2 linked regions of the Caenorhabditis elegans genome follow. The protein of the gene in region 1 interacts with the protein of each later gene in a biochemical or structural test. Each region holds a gene or a part of one and is shown on either strand. Other genes may lie near its edges.

Region 1 (9,218 bases):
TTCCTCCTTGGCGAGCAAAAGCATCTTGGCTGGTTCCGTCACACGGGGCATGATCGTTCTTTGACATATGAGCATGATTATCAGCATAGGACTTAGCGAGCCAACGGAAAGTTCCATCATCTGGTGAAGCTGAATAGGCAGTCTTTTGAGAATTCTCATCAATGGCAGCATCGAATGGATAGTTAGCGACAAGATCTCCCTCATGGAAGTTGGCAGAAAGAACAAATGGAAGTGAAAGAGTCCATTGTCCAACAGCAATTGTTTCTGGTTGACGGTCAACGTTGTCTTCGAAAAGAGACAGAAGATGATCGAACTTTGGAACTCCAATCTTTTGAAGCTCATAGAAGATGCTATCAAGATCTGGGAAGTCTCTGTTGAGATCGACTCCGTTGATGTTGGAACGTCCAGTGAGCCATTGTCTTTGAGCTGGCTCAGTGCCAAGAGCAAGCTCGAAACCATCTGGGTTCATGGATGGAAGGATGTGAATTGAGGTAGAATTAAGGAGTTGGACGATTTCCTAAAAAGTAACACTTGTTTAAAATTTATTTCGAGGAATTTCAAACACTAACCTTATCATTATTGATAGCTCCATTGCAGAGAGTTTCAGCAAAACGAAGCAAGAGTTCTCTTCCGATTGGCTCATTTCCATGCATATTTCCAATCAGTTTAACTTCCGGTTTCGTTGGAATATGCTCTCCAGGAGTTGTCGAGAATTGGATAACAACCAAAGGACGTCCTTCAACAGATTGACCGATTTCATAGAGGGTGGTGATCTGAAATTAGAATTCTCCGAATTTCTTTATTTTGATTGAATTCGATTATTTCGCATGAGCGGACGTGAAAGAAACGAGGAAAATAACATTCCCAATGAGCTCATTGATGATGAGAGTGAGCACACATGAAAAATCGAAACACGCATGATTATTCAGCCAGCTGCCACGTCACCTGATTTCATTTTCAGTTACAATTTTTTTAGAGAAAAACAAGACGATGCAGACAAAAAAATCGTTGTCTGCTAATTTTTAGCAAAATTGAATTCATGACGCATTAGACAGGGTTGATAAGGGATTTTATTATCGTTTAGTATTTTGTACTAGAAAAAATAGAAGAGGTAGGGGATTTGTCTGAAAGCCACGTCAATTCAATGAATGAAGTGGGCTAACTGAAGAGTTACAGTATGGCCTAAAAATAGACGATAAATATCTAAAAGGTCTTTAAAATCTTTTCTCAAAAACCTTCTTTCATCTAAATCAGATGATGAACGCGTTGGTAAACAATTTCTAGAACAGTTGGAAAGTGTTCTTTTGATCGAAAAGCTTGGAATTCAATTACCAAGATTCATCTTTGATGACGCTGATACACTTAAACGTGAGAACGTAGTTAACTTTGTGCCCATCTACGTCAGAATTTTATTCGGAAGTTTAGATTAAAACCATGTTCTAAATGGGATTTTTTATGAATTCAGACTAATTGGAGAATATTAAACATAGTTCATATCACTTTTGGACTTCTGACGAAATCAATGTAACTTCAATTTCTGGAAGCTTTTTGAAAATGTTTATTTTTTCCAAAAAAAACACTCATTAAGTTTTAAAACTATTAAGAAACTATGACTTCACAACATTCTGTTGCGTAATTTCTGCCAAGTTATGAGAACGCATTTCGCGATAATTTGGAAAGTCTACCTAATATGGGGCTATGTTCGTTTGGTTCCTTTTTTAAGAAGACGTCATTTTATAAAATTCCAATTACCAAGTCAAAAACGAAAATGAAAATTTGGCTAATTTCTGGCACATACTTTCATTTTCTTTAATTAAAAAAATGGATAAACCGAAGGAACTAGTTGTTGAGTCATTTTGATAAATTGATCTTTAAACAGCTACTCATGAAATACTTAATCCCAAATGTTTTGTAGGAATGAACAACCAAAATAATAAATTCAAATTCTCCTAGAAACAGCGAACGGAAATCTCGTGGCTATGGGAATCCGTTTCTGGATTTTTTTTGTTCTTTTTTAATATTCTAGTTGGAAATAGTTTCAAAAGAAGTTTCGTAGAAAAAAGGCTTCTCTCCGAAGAAAACGAGAAAATTAAAAAAAAAATTTCAGATTTCCTAGCACGGCTCGAAAACATCATTCACTCAAAAATTCAAGTTTAGAACCCAATTTCCACTCACCTCTGGGCACTTTTCATTGATTTCTCCCAACTTTGCTTCAAGTTGTGCTTGATTGTGATAGTGTCCCCATTCGGCATCGTCCTTGTGTGTGGATCCGCTTCCGAATCCGAGGAAGGCGTGGGCGGTAACGGCTAGAAGAGCCGCAACCAAAAGCACCGGCCGCATCGCGTGCAGCATGTTAGAATGAGAGAAAAGTGACGGAGCCCCTCACTTGAAGAAGAAGAAGAAGCCGTGGACTCTCTAGTTGTCTGTGTCTGAAAAAGAGCACGCCTTCGATCGATATGGAGCTCACTGGATGTTTGAATGAAGAAAATGAGGGGGGAAAGAGGGGTTAGAGAAATGTCGCGCGCTGTGGAGACCAGCTTTTCCCTTTATTCTATTTTTTCAGATGACGTTGCTCAACGGCTTACTCTCAAGAGCGCTTTTCTGCGTCTCTGAGGTCTGAAAGAGAAAGTAAATGAAAGCGGGGGTCGAGAGTGAAAGAGATAGCTTAAGCTCATGCTAATTTCCTTCTTTTAGAAAAAATTCAATGACGTGTCACTTTTTCGGGGTGAAATTTCAAAAATTGCGTTTGAATTGTTATTCACTTTTCATTGACGCGCGAGCGCATCTGATAGGTAAATGTTCGCCAACATTTTTAGCCTATTATAGGGAAGCAGAAAAATGACTTTTTGAAATCGACGTGAAAACTCGCTCCTTGGTTAATTGAAAACGCTCCGCCCCCGAACCATGGGTCTCGTGGTATTTGGAGTTAAATCCGTAAATTCGATTGTTTTCAAATTTTTTCAGCTTTCTCGTCTTTTTAATGATTTTATGGCAAAATTTAAGACTTGAAATTTTCAGAAAACTAAAAATAACAAAATAGACAAAAGATGGTTGAAATTTATGCCAAATTCCTGACGAGACCCGTGACTCGGGGGCGGAGCGTCATCACCTAGATTTCAAAAAGAGGAAATTTTCTGCATCCCAATAATAACAAGAATCGTTATTCAAGTGTTGCGAAAATGTGGAGTTTCAATAAAATTAAATTTGTATTATAAAACTGAAATCTTTTATTTCGTTGTTTCAGTGTGCAATTGGTAAAACATGGGACATGAGAATGTAAAAAATGAAAAAAAAACATAATTGAAAAGCAAAACTTGTTTGATGAGAAATGAGAATCGATTTTTCACGAATTGCACAAGAGAGCGTGCTCGTCGAGTTTATAGCCTGTAAAAAACTGATAAGAGTGGGAGGTATTTTGTCTGGAATGTCTGTACCTTTGTTTTTGGCACATGGGTAATGAATGAACGTGTTTTTCTTATTTTGTACAGAAATTGCGGCACCAGTTTTGCGGCAAACTATGCACGTTTGAGACCAGAAAATATCGATTTGATTATCCAGATTTGTTAGCTGATTGCCGTGAAGATGCACATTTGGAGCCCATAAAACACATGAGCCATGGAACCATAATTCGATTTTTGTAGGTTTTTTGGCAGTCTGAAAAGTTAATTAATTTTTAGATTTTAGAGAATGGGATGGGTTGTTACAGGTTTCTTAGCCAGGAAAGATGGCCAATATTTAATTGGATTATGTGTTGCATAATATGGTCCAAAAAGTTCTCGTTTCTCTCCATTTTCGTGGCACAATGCACACACATAGGAAGATTCAATGGCGTCTGACTGCTCTTCCCACTGAAAATTAATAATAAAAATTAGATTTATCATTTTAATCGTACCTGAAAAAGCTTTGTCATGTGAAAATCCAAAGTTCGATTGACAGTTGCTTCGTGATTCCCCGAATTTTTGATAACTGATTTTCCATTTCTCACTTCAAACATCGGAGTCTCATCTTTTCTATTTGATTTATACTTTGAACCAAATTTTTGATTTATTTGAGTGGCCATATTTTTGTTCTCTTCGTCTGTAAATCAAAGTGAAGAAAAAATATTTTTATTATAAAAACCAATTTACACTCTTCATCTTCCTCATTTCTTTTCTTCTTCTTCACACGTCTCCGTTTTTTGGGTGGTGATTTATGCACTGAATTTGATGTAGATTCTAGATCATCAATTTCCATTGGTTTTCTGGAATTTTTTTTCTGATTCTATAGAAAAAAATTTAAAAATATAACACGAAGTTACCATAAAATATAGATATTCACATTATATTTATGACAAAACATGCATTTTATCGGTTTTGTTATACATTAACTATTAAAATATTAAATTTAAAACTGTTAAAAATTCAATGGAATCCAAAACGTATACGGTTATTCTGCCAATTGACTTCCAAATTCATTCTCCCGGCAACAATGGCCTAGGTTCCACAAGCATAAATCCTCGGCCACGGTTTGTGGACTCCTCTCGGATAAACAGTTACTCATCAGAAATAAACAGTTCTCGTGATATTTACGTTTGTTTCTCACAGAAACTGTCTCCGTTTTGATTTGTATATTTATATTTGATATTTTAAATTAATATAACGTAGTTTTAAATTAAATTGTCCGTTTTAATTGAAAATTCAAGCTTAAATCTTCAGATAAATGAGTTCGTAATGGCAACGACGGGTTTCTATTATGCAATCGGTTTGTTTTCACTTCGCAACTATTTAAATATCTTATTTTTCAGTTCAATACACATTTGAGGATCCGCTTCCATCTTGTGATGCTCCACGATTAGAACTTTTTATTGGCGATCGAATATGTGTTTACGGGCAGCACGGAGAGTGGGGATATGGTCGAAAATTTGACGAGAAAAATGGAAAATGTGGGATTTTTCCACTTGCCTATGTACAAATCGTTCAAAAGTCCATGTTCGTATCGACAAGTGACGGATATCTCGTTGTGGATGAAATTTCCAGAGTTATTAATGAATGGTGGACCAAAATTAAAGAATTGATGGTGGAAACGACAAGGATTGGATCATTCGAAGACTTGATGGATAGTTTTAATGAACTACTAATAATAAAAACTAAAATCGAAAGTGGTAATTTTGTTTCTTTATCAGGAATATAGTAAAATAATTATGCTTTTAGGTGGGATTCCAATTGAAGAGTTGAGCAAACTCCGATTGCGCGTTTCAAAACTGGTAGACCGTGGAAATACAATTCTTGGCCAAGATGTAGTGATTCGCAATGAAGAGGGTGTTCCGCTTGACGTTGAATCACTTTCACTTCTTAGAACATATGAAGCACACATTTCTTCGAAAGGAAGGGTCGGATCATTGATGGTATACTATTTTTTCTCTTACAAGCAATATATTTTTCAAATTTTCAGCGGGAGAAACCTGAAAATGTTACAATCAACGATAGTTTCTCATTGCTGCTCTCCATTAAATCTGTCGAACTCCATTGTAAATATTCCTGTGAAATAAGCATATCACTATATGATCTGGACAAGAAAATGTTCACCACGTAACTCACAATTTTTCTGAAAAAGACAATAGTTGCATTATTTTCAGAGATAGTTATACATTTCTCTGGAACAGCGGTAGTGGAAAACACACGGATTTAAATTTGAAAGCACTGTTCACTGATTTTGCAAAAGAAGATATTCAGAAAAAGTATTTGATGGTAACTCGAGTTGTTCATGTATCACCGATTGAATCTTCTAATGCTACGATGAGAAAGCATGGACATCACGAAGCAACTATACCAAAGACATTTTATTGTAGGCAATGTGAGTTTAAATCACAAAATGAGCTAGTGTAGCATGTTCTCCCAGTAATTTTCGCCAATTTTTGGCGAAAATTGGTTTTTTTATTTTTATTTTCGCCTATCAATATCACTAAATTTTAATGAAAAATATTGGAAGAACATGCCCACTGCCTGATTTTGTAGAATTACCGGTTAGTAATTGCCGCGCAACCCTGGTTGGAATACAAAAATTTATTGCTGCTACTTTCAGCGTACGCCTCGGACATCATGGAAATGTCAAGCATCTTTCTTGCTGGTGTTGGCCACGAAGCAAAAGAACGTGTAATTTTCCTGAATCGAGAACCAGAACTTCCATTATCTCTAAAAGCATATCACGCTACAAATCGTATACCGAAGAATTTAAGCAACGATATGGAAACAAAACTATTGATAAGTACCCAATTAGTTCCTGGAAATGTTTCTCAAATCAAGGCAAGACACCCACATTTGTTCAGTAGATGTCCAGCGGCGATTCTACGAAGAGCTGATAGAACAGCAGTTTCAATTGAAGATAGTCGAAATGAGATGTATATTACTTTAATGCAGGCTGAATTATCTGGAAAATCATCTGATCGTAACATTGAGGCACGTCTTCATGTCGTGGAATCAAATGGACATGTTATGGAAAATGTTTTTGAGACTATTTCGGTTACTGGTTCGCAACTTAGCACTGTCTACAAGAGTATTGTAGTTTATCATACTGACAAACCAATGTGGACGGAACCAATAAAAATTGCTCTTCCCTCATGTGCTTCTCATGATGTATACCTTCGGATCTTATTTTATTCGAAGAAAGCATATGACAAACCAAAACCAGAAAAAGGACCATTTGCAATTGCACATGTTCAACTCATTCGAAGTAGTGCTCTACTCTGTGATGGTGAACATGACTTGGCTGTCTACAAAATTGATAATCCAGGATCTCACTTTGATGAATCAAATGTACATTATATGAACTTACCTGATACCAGAAGAACACTCAAAGAATCAATTGGAAGCGCGAAACCTCATTCACAGGGTTTTAGTTTGAGTGATAAAAGTTTTGTGATGATATCCACTCATTCATGTTCTTCAATGTTAACTCAAAATGAGCATTTGTTGAATGTGTTGAGATGGCGTGTAAATTGTGTCAACCTTACATCTTCATTGGTGGCTCTTGCTCAACCAATTGGAGATACGGAACACGAAATGATTCGATTCTTCTCACATTTATTGGATGCACTCTTTGAAATTTGGCATGATCGTGAGACTTCGGAGAAAGTCGTTTTTGATGTTATCGTGGCGGTTTTAAGAATTTGTGGTAAGTGTACAGCTTTCTGACATTTTGTTCAGTTAGAGAAAAGTTCCGGCGAAAATATTTGTTAAGCAAATTACAATTTTTCGCTGAAATGTTTCCTGACAAAATTGAATTATCCGTCGAAAAATTGCCAGAGAACATTTGAATTCTCCGCCAAAAATGTTTGAATGAAATTTTGAAATTCTTGCCATATTTTTTCCGAGAAATTTTTCTTAAGATAAAATTTTTTTATCAAAAAAAAAACTAGCGGTGCAGCTGACCATAAATTTTTTTTTCAAATATTTCTTTTTGGATAAAGTTATTTATTTTAATATTTCAGAGGAGCCACGACACTACCCACAGGCTGCAAAAATATTCGAAGTGTATCTGAAACGATTTTCATTTACTTCAGCGGCACTGTAAGTTTTCATAGATTACACGTATAATTCAAATTCCTTTGTTTCCAGAAAAATTCTAAAGTGTCTCAATCACTATGTCATCTCGGATTCAGAAGATTCAAATGAGAAAGCGAGAAATGCATTCAAAGTTATGGGTCCTCTCTTCAAATTAGTTGTCGTGTCGAAGAAATGTGGAATAAAGTACGTTTTCCAAATTAAAAAATCAGAAATTTCATCTTTTTGATTTCCAAACTTCGCAAACCAAAACTGAAAAAATAAGCAATATCATGAAAAACCGGTTTAAGGTCACAGTTCGATTGATTCACCAGTTCACTGTCAAAATTCATTTTTTTTTGTTTTCAGATTCGAAGAGTTCGACGATTTCGAAAAGACTTATAAGCAATATCTTCGAGAATTTATGAAATCACTCGTAGCTCTCATGTCAGAAAAGAAAGCAAAAATGACTGTTCAGAATACAGCTCTTAAAAGTATTCCGACGATAATTGATTTGCTCAATGAAAGCGATTCGGTATCTCCAGAGAATCTTTGTGGATTTATTGTTGATTTGATGAATAATTTTGGATCAAATATTGTTACTCGTGAGCGGCTCAATTTTATTGCACAGATTGTGGAAACTCGGTTCTTTTCGGTAAGGAAATATCTTTAGATACATTATTTTAGATAGTTCCCAATAATTTGTCTTCATGCAAAAATTACAAAATATCCGAATTAAATAAATGTTCAGCTTTCAATCTGCCGAGAACAACTTCTGATTCCATGTCTTCAAATCGCTCTTGACATAATACAAATCGACAATATGGCAACCGAAAAAGGAGAATTTGCAGATCGTGCCGCTGAGTGTGCCAGTATTATTGCTGCTATTCTGGAGAGACTATTCGCTGACGCGGTACTAGATTATCATTCGTACATGACAAGTATTTCATATTTTACAGAAAAGTGGTGAAGGTAACGCTGAGAGAGAATTGACATCATTCATTTTAATGGTTTATCGTCCACTTGTTCAAGCAATGATTCGAGTAATCCACGACGACAAGCACACTGATGATGATGCTCGTGGTCACTTTTTCTCTGTAATATTGGCATTATTAGACAAAATGTCCGCCCAAATGTTTAGTGAATATGTGGAAGAGCGATCATCGGATATTGATAAACGTGATTTTCTCATGGAAATGGTTCAAATGATTCGAGATTTACTCAATCGAAATGCCTTCCCATCTACTTGGAAAGATATGATAATGTTGCAGAATAAGTGAGTTTAAATAAATTTTCGGTTTTTTCGCGCCAAAATTGTCTGAAAAGTACTGTAGTTTTAAACCAAGGGTCGGTTTCTTCATTTTCAGAAAAATCCAATTTTTCAATAATTTTCGATGACTTTCTATTAAAATAAATATTATTTTTCACATGAAAGTCAACATATTTTTGATAAATTTATAGAACATTTTTCCATAAATTTTTCAAATTTTTTCTATTTTCAATAAAAAATCGCGAATTGAGACAAAAGTTGAGAAAAAAATTGTTCAAAAAAAATGTTGCCGAAATTTCCTGATTTTTATACAAAAACAAGTCTAAACAATTTTTTAACATACAAAAAATTTGTATTTAATGCGTCACACTCGAGTGGTGATATTGAAAATTTGATTTTTCATGTATTTTTTGAGTTATTTAAAAAAATTT
Region 2 (10,923 bases), 8.9 Mb from region 1:
TTTTCGAAGTTTTTTTTTTCTGAAAAATTGCAAAAAATATGTCAAAAATACATATTTTTCATTAGTTTTTTCCAAATTTTACCAAAAATTTTTTCTTTAAAATTTCGAAAATTCGTTTTTTTCCGAACGTTCTTCTAAAAAAATACTGAAAAGTGAATTTTCATGGTTTTTTTTTTGAATTTTTTTTGAAAAACTGAAATTTTATCCAAAAAATGAATGAAATGACATAGAATTTCTAAAAAAACGTATTTTTGAAGGTTTTTGAAAAACTTTTCCGGAAGATTTACAAAAAATACCTGTTTCAAACAAAAAAACCGAATAAGGAATAATACATTCCGTAAAAATTGTGTCTTTTTCGAGGTTTTTTTCCCGAAATTTTCCCTAAAAAACTCTAAAAATACGTCAACAACGGCACTGCAACTTTTTCCTCACGAGGGACGAGGAAAAGTGGTTTCTAGGCCATGGCCGAGGGGCCGACAAGTTTCAGCGGCCATTTATCTTGCTTTGTTTTCCGCCTGTTTTCTTTTGTTTTTCATCGATTTTTTTCGTTTTTTCTTAATAAAACTGATAAATAAATATTTTTTGCAGATGCTAAAACAATTTCCAAGTAAAAAAATCATGTATTCAGTGGGCAAGCAGCGGTGAAAGTGGGCAATGCAATATGATGGATTACGGGAATACAAAACCTAAACTTTTTCTGAAACATGATACATATGCTGCTTAGATGCTGAAGCTACCTGATTTTCATATCGAGACCGCTGAAAAAGTTTTGAGGTTTCCAAAATTCAACTTTTTTGGTAAAAAAGTAGAGATTTTCGCACAAAAAGTTGAATTTTGAAAACCTCAAAACTTTTTCAGCGGTCTCGTTATGAAAATCAGGTAATTTCAGCATTTAAGCAACATATGTATCCTGTTTCAGAAAAAGTTTGGGTTTAGTATTCCCGTAATCCATCATATTGCATTGACCACTTTCACCGCTGCTTGCCCACTGAATACATAATTTTTTCACTTGGAAATTCTTTTAGCATCTGCAAAAAATATTTATTTATCAGTTTTAATAAGAAAAAACGGGAAAAAGCTGTGAAAAACAAAAGAAAACAGGCGGAAAACAAAGCAAGATAAATGGCCGCTGAAACTTGTCGGCCCCTCGGCCATGGCCTAGAAACCACTTTTCCTCATCCCTCGTGAGGAAAAAGTTGCAGTGAATACGTCACCAACGGCTTAAAAAAATCACCGTTTCGCAAAAATCCCCGCCGCGGGAATCATTCTGCCAAGGCGAGCCAAAATAATCTCACAATTCGGCTCACAGCTATGATTTAAAAACCGTCCGATATTTCCACGTAGGCGCGGGTCTACGAACGTTTTCACGGGTTTTCCACCGAAAAACTCCTTCAACGTAAGCGTATAATTATCGTCTCCTCGGAATTCTCGACATCTCCGTTCAACTTCTTGCTCGCCAATACATTCCCCAGCGTATTCGCACACAAATTCGCCGGCGGCTATCTGCTCGCCGGCTCGAACTCCGAATCCTTTTGCCATCTCACAAGTGCTGAAAATTTCCAGCTTTTTCTGTGGTCCACATTGCACAACTCGATTCCTACATGAAGTTGGGAGCAGTATGCAGGCACATTGATCGGAGCACTCGATTAGAAGCTCCGATGATTTATTGATTTTTCCATCGACAGTGTAATTATCGATTTTATTGATTAGACACGAGCAACCGGCGGCTGAAGAGCACTCAGCCTCGCAGTTACATCCTTCGAATACGTCATTCCAGTCGGTTTCAGAGATTCCTGGCCCGGGAATTGTGCTATCAATTTTCTCATAATTCATTATCTGAAATTTGAAATTTTTGTAAGTTTTTAGGCGGAAAAACAAAAAACTATCAGAAAATTGTCGAAATTCGAGAGAAAATCCATTTTTCAACATTTTTCCACGAAAAAAATCCGGATTTTTTCGCATTTTTAGGCGGAATCTCAGACGAAATTCGGAAAATTGTAATTTTTTTTGCCTCAAAAATTCGAATTTCTAGGCGAAATCTGCGAAAAAATGTTGGTTTTTTTTTTCACAAAAACCGTTTTTAACTAAAAAATTCACAAGAATTTATAGCAATTTCAAAGAAAAATCGAGAAAAATACGCCGAGCTTTCAAATTTTTTTTGTGATTTTTTCATACAAAATCGGATTTTTTTCTTGCAATTGAATGGAAATCTTGAAGAAAATTGTTCAAAACTCTGAAAAAAAAACTATAAATTATCTGAATTTCTAAAAAATTAAGAATTTTAGTGAAAAAATTCGGAATTTATCACATTTTTAGGCGGAATCTGTAACAAAATTATCGAAATTCGGGAGAAAATCCAGTTTTTAACATTTTTCTACTGAAATCCAAAAAAAAAAATCAAATTTTTCACATTTCTAGGCGGGATCTCAGACGAAATTCGGAAAATTATATTTTTTGCCCCAAAAATTCGAATTTCTAGGCGAAATCTGCGAGAAAATGGTTCAAATTTGGGGAAAATCTTTCAGCTTTAAGAGGAAACGGCGGGTTTTCAATAGAAATCTGAGAAAAAATCGGCAAAATTCGATAATGTGGCTTTAAAATCTAAATTTTCTGAAATTTTATTTTAAAAAACTGCACTAAACCGTTAAAAATCGTTTATAATTTAATTTTTCAGTTAATTTTCCCGTTTTTAAGTGAAAAATAGCTTGAAAAAGGTTTAAATTCGACAGAAAACAGAGTTTCTCCAAAAAAAAAACACCGCGTAAATCGACACAAGTTTAAAGGCGCAGTATGGAGAGTGAAAGGGTCTCGCAACGATGGCCCGGGGTATTTGAATTTTTCATAAAATAAAAGTTTTTTTCGTGAAAAAATGGCAAATTTGATCAAAATTTGTTGTTTTTTCGTGAAAAACAGTCGAAGTTCAGAGAAACTTTCCATTTTCCAGTTGAAAATAGAAAAAATTGACCGTTTTTTAGCCTGAAAAACCAGAATTTATTGCAATTTCAGAGAAAATTCGAAAAAAAAAGGCCGAAAATTCACCAAAATACGTCGAAAAATCGGATTTTTTTGCAATTTGCTGGAAATCTTCAAGTAAATTTTCAAAACTTTGAAAAAAACTCCAAAATTATGACATTTTTTTCTTAAAAAGTACTCTCAGAGGCTCTATAGCACCTCATTTTCCAACAAAAATTCGAAAAAATCATAATTAAAACGGTTTATTAATCATCCGGCAGGTTGAAAGGGAAAAGTGAACAAAATGGAATGGACACGAATTGGGGTTCGGTGGGCGGAAAAGGCAACGAAAATTGTGCATGATATCATTATAAATATAATTTGGAAAAAAAAACGATTTTTTTCTATGGTAAAGCTGTAATGTATTAGAGGAAAACTGGTGGAGGGGCAAGCGAATCAATAAATTTCAAGGTTAAAAATTTAGAAAAAAAAAACGATTTTATTCGCTGACGGCGGTGAATCTGAGGTATGTATGAGGCACCGAGCCAATTTGGCCGTCGAGTTCCGCTTTGTACATTCCGTTGGACATTTTCTGAGTTACAAGCACTGTTTGCCCCTTTTTCACACGCAATTGGGTCGGATCGTAGGCGTTTGGGACACGATCGAACGTCACTTTGGCTTTTGCTGGCAGACGGGGCTGAAATATTGAATTTTTTTTTCGGTTTAGGAGATGTTTTTCATGATAAAAATCGTTAATAATTTCATTTTTCAGTTAATTTTGCAGATTTTAGGTGGAAAATAACTTGAAAACGGCCTGAAAATAGAGTTTCTCCGAAAAAAAACACCGCGTAAATCGACACAAGTTTAAAGGCGCAGTAGGGTTGGTGGAAGGGTCTCGCAGCGATGAGCCGGATTTTTAAATTTTTTGAGAAAAAAAAAAAGTTTTTTTAAGTAAAAAGGTCAAAATTGATCGAAATTATTCGTTTTTTTTTGACAAAAACAGCCGAAATTCACTGAAATTTGACATTTTCCAACTAGAATTAATAAAAAATCATTGAATATTCATTAGAAAGATGGAAATTGACTGAAATTTCGCATTTTCCAATAGAAAAATCTAAAAATTGGTGTTTTCCGTGAAAAAATGTCAAAGTTGCCTGAAATGCTTCGTTTATTCTTGGAATATGGTCGAAATATTAGGAAATTTTCGATTTTTCCACTAGAAATGTTAAAAATTGACTGAAATTTCCATTTTTTTTTCAGTGAAAATTTCAAAATATGACCGAATTTTCACTAAAAACGGTAAAAATTGAGCAAATTTTTAAAGAGAAATTTCAGATCCAACTTTCCCATTAAAATTCTGTAATTTACAAGGAAAATCGTCTCGAAATTCGAAATTTTCCCATCGAAAAATGTCAAAAATTGACTAAAAAACGCAATTTTTCAGCAAAAAATCTGAAATTTGTGGATTTTTCCGGCAATTTTCCACACCTGGAGCTCAATATTATCACTGCTCGTGCTGGCGCTCGAAAATCGTTCGGCGCCACCTCCGCTGCTTCCGATCGACGATTGACTGGCGCCTTTTGAGGTTCTGTCATTGTGAAATTCCATCTGAATTTGTACATAGTTTGCCGGCACTAATCCAGTGGTTCCCAACGCGTTTCTCGCCTCCCACCAATCCTGGTTCGTTTTTGCTGGAAAAAAAAAATTATTAAAAATCTAGTATTTTCGAGGAAAATTACCGAAAAAAACTTGGAAAATGCACAAAATCTTGAGAAAAACGGGAGAAAATCAAAAAACACGGTTTTTTTTTCAAATTTTATGGTTTTTACAGGTAAAATTTCGTATTTCCATTATAAAATTCGTTTATAATTTTATTTTTCAGATAATTTTGCGGTTTTAAGTGAAAAATTGCCTTAAAAACAGTTTAAATTCGTCCGAAAATAGAGTTTCTCCAAAAAAAAACACCGCGTAAATCGACACAAGTTTAAAGGCGCAGTGGGGTGGGTGGACAGGGTCTCACAACGATGAGTCCGGGTTTTTGAATTTTTTCATAAAATAAAAGTTTTTTTCGTGAAAAAATGGCAAAATTGATCGAATTTTGTTGTTTTTTCGTGAAAAACAGTCGAAATTCGCAGAAACTTTCCATTTTCCAGTTGAAAATAGTAAAAATGACTGAAATTTCTTGTTTTCATTAGGAAAATAGTCATAATGCACTGAATTTCGCATTTTTCTACTAAACCGGGTTAAAATTAGGCGAATTTTGTAGAAAATCGCATTTTTCCATTGAAAAACGTAAATTTTTAACATTTTTGCGGCTTTTTGGATTAAAAAAATGTGGAAATTTACCAAAAGTTTCTGGTTTTCTTGAAAAACAGTCAAAATTTACCATTTTCCAATAAAAACAGGAGAAAATGGGTGGAAATTTACTGAAAATTGCTCATTTTCTCACTAACATGGTAACAATCGGAAATTTAAATTTGCCCATCGAAAACGTCAAAAATTAACTAAAAATCTCGATTTTTCGGCGATTTTAATTGAGAAATGGCTTGAGAAAGTGGTAAAATTTGGCAAAACTTGGTTTTTAATAGTTTTTTTTTTGCATTTGGCTTCAATTTCCCCGAATTTTCAGATTTTTTAATCGAAAAAGTGCTCTTAAAGCTCACAAAGAATCTCGAGCCGCTAAATCAGTGGATTTTCGGGGATTTCACGAGAAAACTCATTTCTCGTAGTTTAAATGGCATTTTCCGAACCTTTGGTCTTTCTTCTCTAAGAAGTGCTCGAGATTCCAGAAATTGATTTTTTTTCCAGAAAAAAACGTTATAATTGTGAGGAAATCGACATTTTTTCTTGCATTTGGCACTATTTTCTCCGTATTTTTAGATTATTTAAAGGTGGACTACGCTCAGTGGGGAAATTGCTTTAAAACACGCCTATGGGGTCACAATGACAGAATATCATGATTAAAAAATTCAAAATTTTTTTTTATGATTTTAAATGATTTTTTGAAAATTGAAAAAATCTCAGTTTTCACCTAATTCCTATTTGAATTTCCGCCAATTGAACTCGTTCGTTGGAGCGCGCTTGCATTATTTTCATTAATTAATTCTATTTCTTCTCATTATTGGACTGATTTTCTTCATTTTTTGTGGTTTTTCATCGGAAAATCGAAGAAAACAACAAGAAAAATGCAAAATGATTTTTTAAAAGTAACTGAAAATGCGTAAAACTGTAAAATATACTAATTTCAGGCTTGTCGTTGTCAGAACTCAAGAAATCACAGTTTTAGAAAATTTCAGTTAATTTTTAACAAACAATTTGCATTTTTCTTGTTTATTTCTCTTCCATTTTCCGATGAAAAACTCCAAAAAATGAAGAAAATCAGTCCAATAATGAGAAGAAATAAAATTTTGAAAATTAATGAAAATAATGCAAGCGCGCTCCATTGAAAAAATCCAATTGGCGGAAATTCAAAAATAATTAGGTGAAAACTGAGATTTTTTTTCAATTTTCAAAAAATCATATAAAATCAGGGAAATTTTTTTGAATTTTTTAATCATGATATTCTGTCATTGTGGCCCCATAGGCGTGTTTTAAAGCAATTTCCCCACTGGGTCCGCCTTTAAAAAATCTAAAAATTCGGAGAAAATAGTGCCAAATGCAAGAAAAAATGTCGATTTCCTCACAATTATAACGTTTTTTCTGGAAAAAAAATCAATTTCTGGAATCTCGAGCACTTCTTAGAGAAGAAAGAACAAAGGTTCGGAAAATGCCATTTAAACTACTAGAAATGTCAATTTTCTCGTGAAATCCCCGAAAAATCCACTGATTTAGCGGCTCGAGATTCTTTGTGAGCTTTAAGAGCACTTTTTCGATTAAAAAATCTGAAAATTCGGGGAAATTGAAGCCAAATGCAAAAAAAAAACTATTAAAAACCAAGTTTTGCCAAATTTTACCACTTTCTCAAGCCATTTCTCAATTAAAATCGCCGAAAAATTGAGATTTTTAGTTAATTTTTGACGTTTTCGATGGGCAAATTTAAATTTCAATAAAGCAAGTTCCCCACAGGGTTTAGTCCACCTTTAATCAAAAAAGTGCTGCTTTAAAGCTCACAAAGAATCTCGAGCCGCTCTCCTTGCTCAAACGGAAGATCTGTCTCTCGTTCCCCTGTGAATTTGAATGTTCCGACGACAACCTCAATGATAGGCTTCTTGTAGGCGGCCAGCAGGCTTGCCTCAGTCAAAACTCGCATTTTAAAATGATTCAACAACGCCGGAATGTCTGGAAACGACTGATTCGCGATTTTCACGCCAGCTGCAGCAGTTCCATCTTCTTTCGGTTCTCCTCTTTCAATCAAATAATGACAAACGGCATTTCCCTCGTCGGCTTCACGTACTGTCAGTGAATATTCACCGGGGCGTGAGCTATCCCGCATTAGGAAGGTGCCGATCGATACTTGTGGCTCGCCGAGCAACTTGTGAGCCTCTTCACGGCTCATTCCTGGGAAGTAGAATGAACGCCACTCGAATGGATCGAACCCGTTTGTCGTCATTTCTGAAAATGCGGGAAATTGTTTAGAAACGTGGAATTTTTAGGCGCGCAAAATTGGTCAAAGTTGGGAAAATTTTCTGGAAAACGTAACCCAAATAGACGGAAAATCATCAAAAATCACGAGAAATTCCTAAAAATCCAGAAAAAAAAGACGAAAAATCAAGAAAAATTATATAAAAGGGGAAAGTTTTTTCGGCTGAAAAATGCTTAAAATCTTGTTTTTGAGAGCGAAAATTTATGAAAATCGGCCAAAAATCACCATCTTTGAGAAGAAAACGCAAAAATCTTCAAAAAAAAAATCAAGAATTTCGTGGGAAAAAATATTTTAAAATGAATAAAAATATGATTTTCAACCTAAACATTGCTGAAAATGTGAAAAAACGGGTGAAAATTCGATTTTTTAAAGGAAAACGAGTCAATATAGGCAGAAAATTGGATGAAAAAGTTGGAAATTGAATAATAATTAGCGTGATTTTCCAAGAAAATCAAGGAATTTCCATTTAAAAAATTCAGGAAATGAACAAAAATGGATGTTTTTTTGGCTGAAAAAATGCTGAAAATCAGTTAAAAATCGGCCAAAACTTGCGTGGAAAAATCAAAAAATCAGGAATTTCGTTGGAAAAGTACCTTAAAATGGCAAAAAATAAGATTTTAAAGAAAGAAATTGCTGAAAATCGTGGTTTTGGCACAGAAAATCTAGTAATTCTAGTGAAAATTTCTGAAAAATAAATGAACATTGGAGAAAATGGTACTTTTAGGAAGAAAAATCGATTGGACACAGTGAAAATTTTCAAATTTTGGTAGGAAATGGCGAGTTTTAGGGAAAAAGAGGGCAAAATAGTTGAGTTTTTCGGCTAAATTATGGGAAAAATGAAGAATTTTTTTGAAAAACTGTGTTAAAAAATTGGAAAACATGGCGAAATCGAGAATTTCGAGCAGAATAAGCAGGTTTTTAGGCTAAAGTTCGGTTTTTAGTAGAAGAAAATTGAAAAATACGCTTAAAACCTTTATTTTCGAATATATTTCATACTAAATTTACCGATTTCTTGTTTTTATACGCATTGAAACACCAATTATTCGTAAAAATGAGGAAATTGATGAGCAATTTTCCCAGGCAATGACTCATAAGCTTCTTGTCGACTGGAGCCAAAGTTTACACATTTTAAATACGTATTTTACGATGCGCAACCGCAAAAAATCAAGAAAATCTCCGAAAACTGGTGAGAAATTGCAAACAAACGACTTTTTTTGCACGCAAAAATAAATTGTCAGCTGTTGCGCTTGTCCGAGAGGAGTACACGATGAGGTGTGCGGGGGACTTGCAACACGCGACCCCGCCCACTTTTCCGCGCCGCATTGCAATTTGAATTCGGAATTTTGCGCGAAAAGTTGCGTTTTGCGGGAAGTTTTCCGGGTTTTTTACAGTTTTTTGCTATAATTTTCAAGTTTAAAGGTTAAAATATCAAAAATCACTCAAAATTTTCCGACTTTTTCAGCAGCTTTCCATCCTCCGAGATGAGTGTCTCGTTTATGGAGTTGGGCTCGGCCGACTCGGCAGAAGCGGCGGCGAACAAGGTGGCACACCACGTCGAGCAGATGATGGAGACATCGGATTTCTTCGATCGCCTCACACAACACGGCACGACGCCCGTCTCCGGTCTCGGCGAGAAGTTTTATGTGAAGGGAGCGCCGGAGTTTGTGAGCACACGGCGAATCCCAATACCCGGAGAGCTTCAAATGCAAATGAGCAGTGAGAGAGCATTGTTTCCGATGGGGGGGTTTTTCAGCGAAAAATTGGTGAATTTTCAGATATTCACAGCGAGTTTAGCATGGGATTCTTCACACAAATCAGCCGAGTTTGGGTCGTCATTGATAACAATCTCTATATGTGGAATTACGAGACAAAGTAAGCGGAAAAGCCGAAAAATACCGAAAAAAAATCGAATTTTCAGCGACGATTTGGCGTTTTTCGACTCATCAGACGCTGCAATTCTGAAGGTGTCGCTGGTGAACATCAAGCCAGGCGTTTTTGAGCCGGAAATTCAATATGGGCTCGTTGTCGGCACAATTTCCGATATATGTCTTTATCCGGTCTTTGATTTCGTGGAAAATGGCGCCAGTAGCATTTCTATCGACTCAAAACGATGCTTCAAGGTTCGAAATTCGAGTGAAAATGGAGAAAAAAGAAGGAAGAATTACCAAGAAAACCCAAGTTTTTGAATCAAAAATCGCAAAAGTTTGGAGATTTTGAGTCTTCAAAACACGGGAAAATCGATGTTCCGTGCGATTTTTACTTAAAAATCGACAAAAAAAATTTAAACAACGGGATTTTTCGTCTATTTCTAGCTCAAATTTGCTGATAACGCTTTTCTGTTTTTTTTTCTACTCGAAAACTTGAAAATCCGAGTTTCTGACTAATTTTTTGAGTCTTCAAAGCAATTTTACATCAAAAATGCTCATTTCAAACCAAAAATTGGGGATTTCGATAATCTTCAATTTTTATTCGTTTTTTTTAGAACAATTTGTCGTTGAAAACGCTCATTTCAAGCCGAATTTTCGAAAATATGTGTTGTTTTATGCGAAAATCTCCAATTTTTCATTTATTTTCCGATAAAAAAAGCTCATTTTAAGCCTAAATTTTCCCAAAAATTGAGCTTTTCAACAATTTCTCTAGAAAATCGCAAATTTCCATTAAAAAGCTCAATTTTTTTTGCGAGAATTTTTCAAAAATGAGCTAAAATTTCGAAAATAACAGTAATTTTCGACGAGAAACTTCAATATAACACAAAAACGGTATTTTCAAGCCAAATTTTTTTCTAAAAAATTTAAAATTTTGAAAATAAACACAGTTTTTTGCGGAAATCTTCAATTTTTCATTAATTTTTCTGAAAAAAAAGCTCATTTTAAGCCAAAATTTTCCTTAAAAATCTGAAATTTCCAGCACTTTACTATAATTCCAGTACATAAAAACGCTCCTTTTAAGTCTATTTTTTTTCTAAAATTGAGCTCAAATTTTATTTTTTCACATAATTTCCAGAAAAATCTTCCATTTTCAGCAATTTCTCTAGAAAATCGTCAAATTTTTATGTTGTATCTGGCAAATCCCCATTAAAAAGCTCAATTTTAAGCCAAAATTGTTCTGAAATGAGCGAAAATTTTGAAAATATCACTAGTTTTAGACGATACTCTTTATTTTTTTTAAATATATTTTCTGAAAACGAAACCCATTTCAAGCCAAAATTATCATAAAAATCCCCAAATCGTCAATTTTTATATGAATTTCATCGCAATTTTACATTGGAAAACACTCCAAAAATTGAGCTTTTTCAGCAATTTCTCTAGAAAATCCCCAATTTTTTTTTTCAGATAGCCCTTGACGGAGCAACAGTGAATGATATTTCGTATACTTCAAATGGTCGAGTA

Evidence for each region.
Region 2: the proteins of ced-5 (region 1) and ced-2 form a complex in vitro, tested with the Caenorhabditis elegans proteins (one study listed by BioGRID).

Annotation. Positions count from the first base shown.
Region 1 is NC_003282.8:10,479,416-10,488,633, forward strand, and holds the start of ced-5 (Dedicator of cytokinesis protein 1), read left to right. Parts: upstream 1-4,694; 5' UTR 4,695-4,709; coding exon 4,710-4,740; intron 4,741-4,783; coding exon 4,784-5,140; intron 5,141-5,189; coding exon 5,190-5,383; intron 5,384-5,430; coding exon 5,431-5,567; intron 5,568-5,614; coding exon 5,615-5,832; intron 5,833-6,060; coding exon 6,061-7,149; intron 7,150-7,465; coding exon 7,466-7,544; intron 7,545-7,592; coding exon 7,593-7,724; intron 7,725-7,886; coding exon 7,887-8,172; intron 8,173-8,268; coding exon 8,269-8,430; intron 8,431-8,476; coding exon 8,477-8,793; intron 8,794-9,218. Other genes in the region: egl-21 (Carboxypeptidase E), read right to left, coding at 1-517, 570-773, 2,176-2,352; F01D4.5 (PHD-type domain-containing protein), read right to left, coding at 3,378-3,394, 3,435-3,654, 3,705-3,848, 3,893-4,077, 4,128-4,233.
Region 2 is NC_003282.8:1,593,898-1,604,820, reverse strand, and holds ced-2 (Cell death abnormality protein 2), read right to left. Parts: upstream 7,504-10,923; 5' UTR 7,502-7,503; coding exon 7,063-7,501; intron 4,644-7,062; coding exon 4,441-4,643; intron 3,650-4,440; coding exon 3,452-3,649; 3' UTR 3,200-3,451; downstream 1-3,199. Other genes in the region: putative histone-lysine N-methyltransferase set-23, read right to left, coding at 1,235-1,833; npp-8 (Nucleoporin_N domain-containing protein), read left to right, coding at 9,016-9,250, 9,310-9,406, 9,453-9,654, 10,867-10,923. UniProt on the Caenorhabditis elegans protein: Required for cell migration and engulfment of cell corpses but not for programmed cell death/apoptosis. Has a role in the migration of the 2 gonadal distal tip cells (DTCs).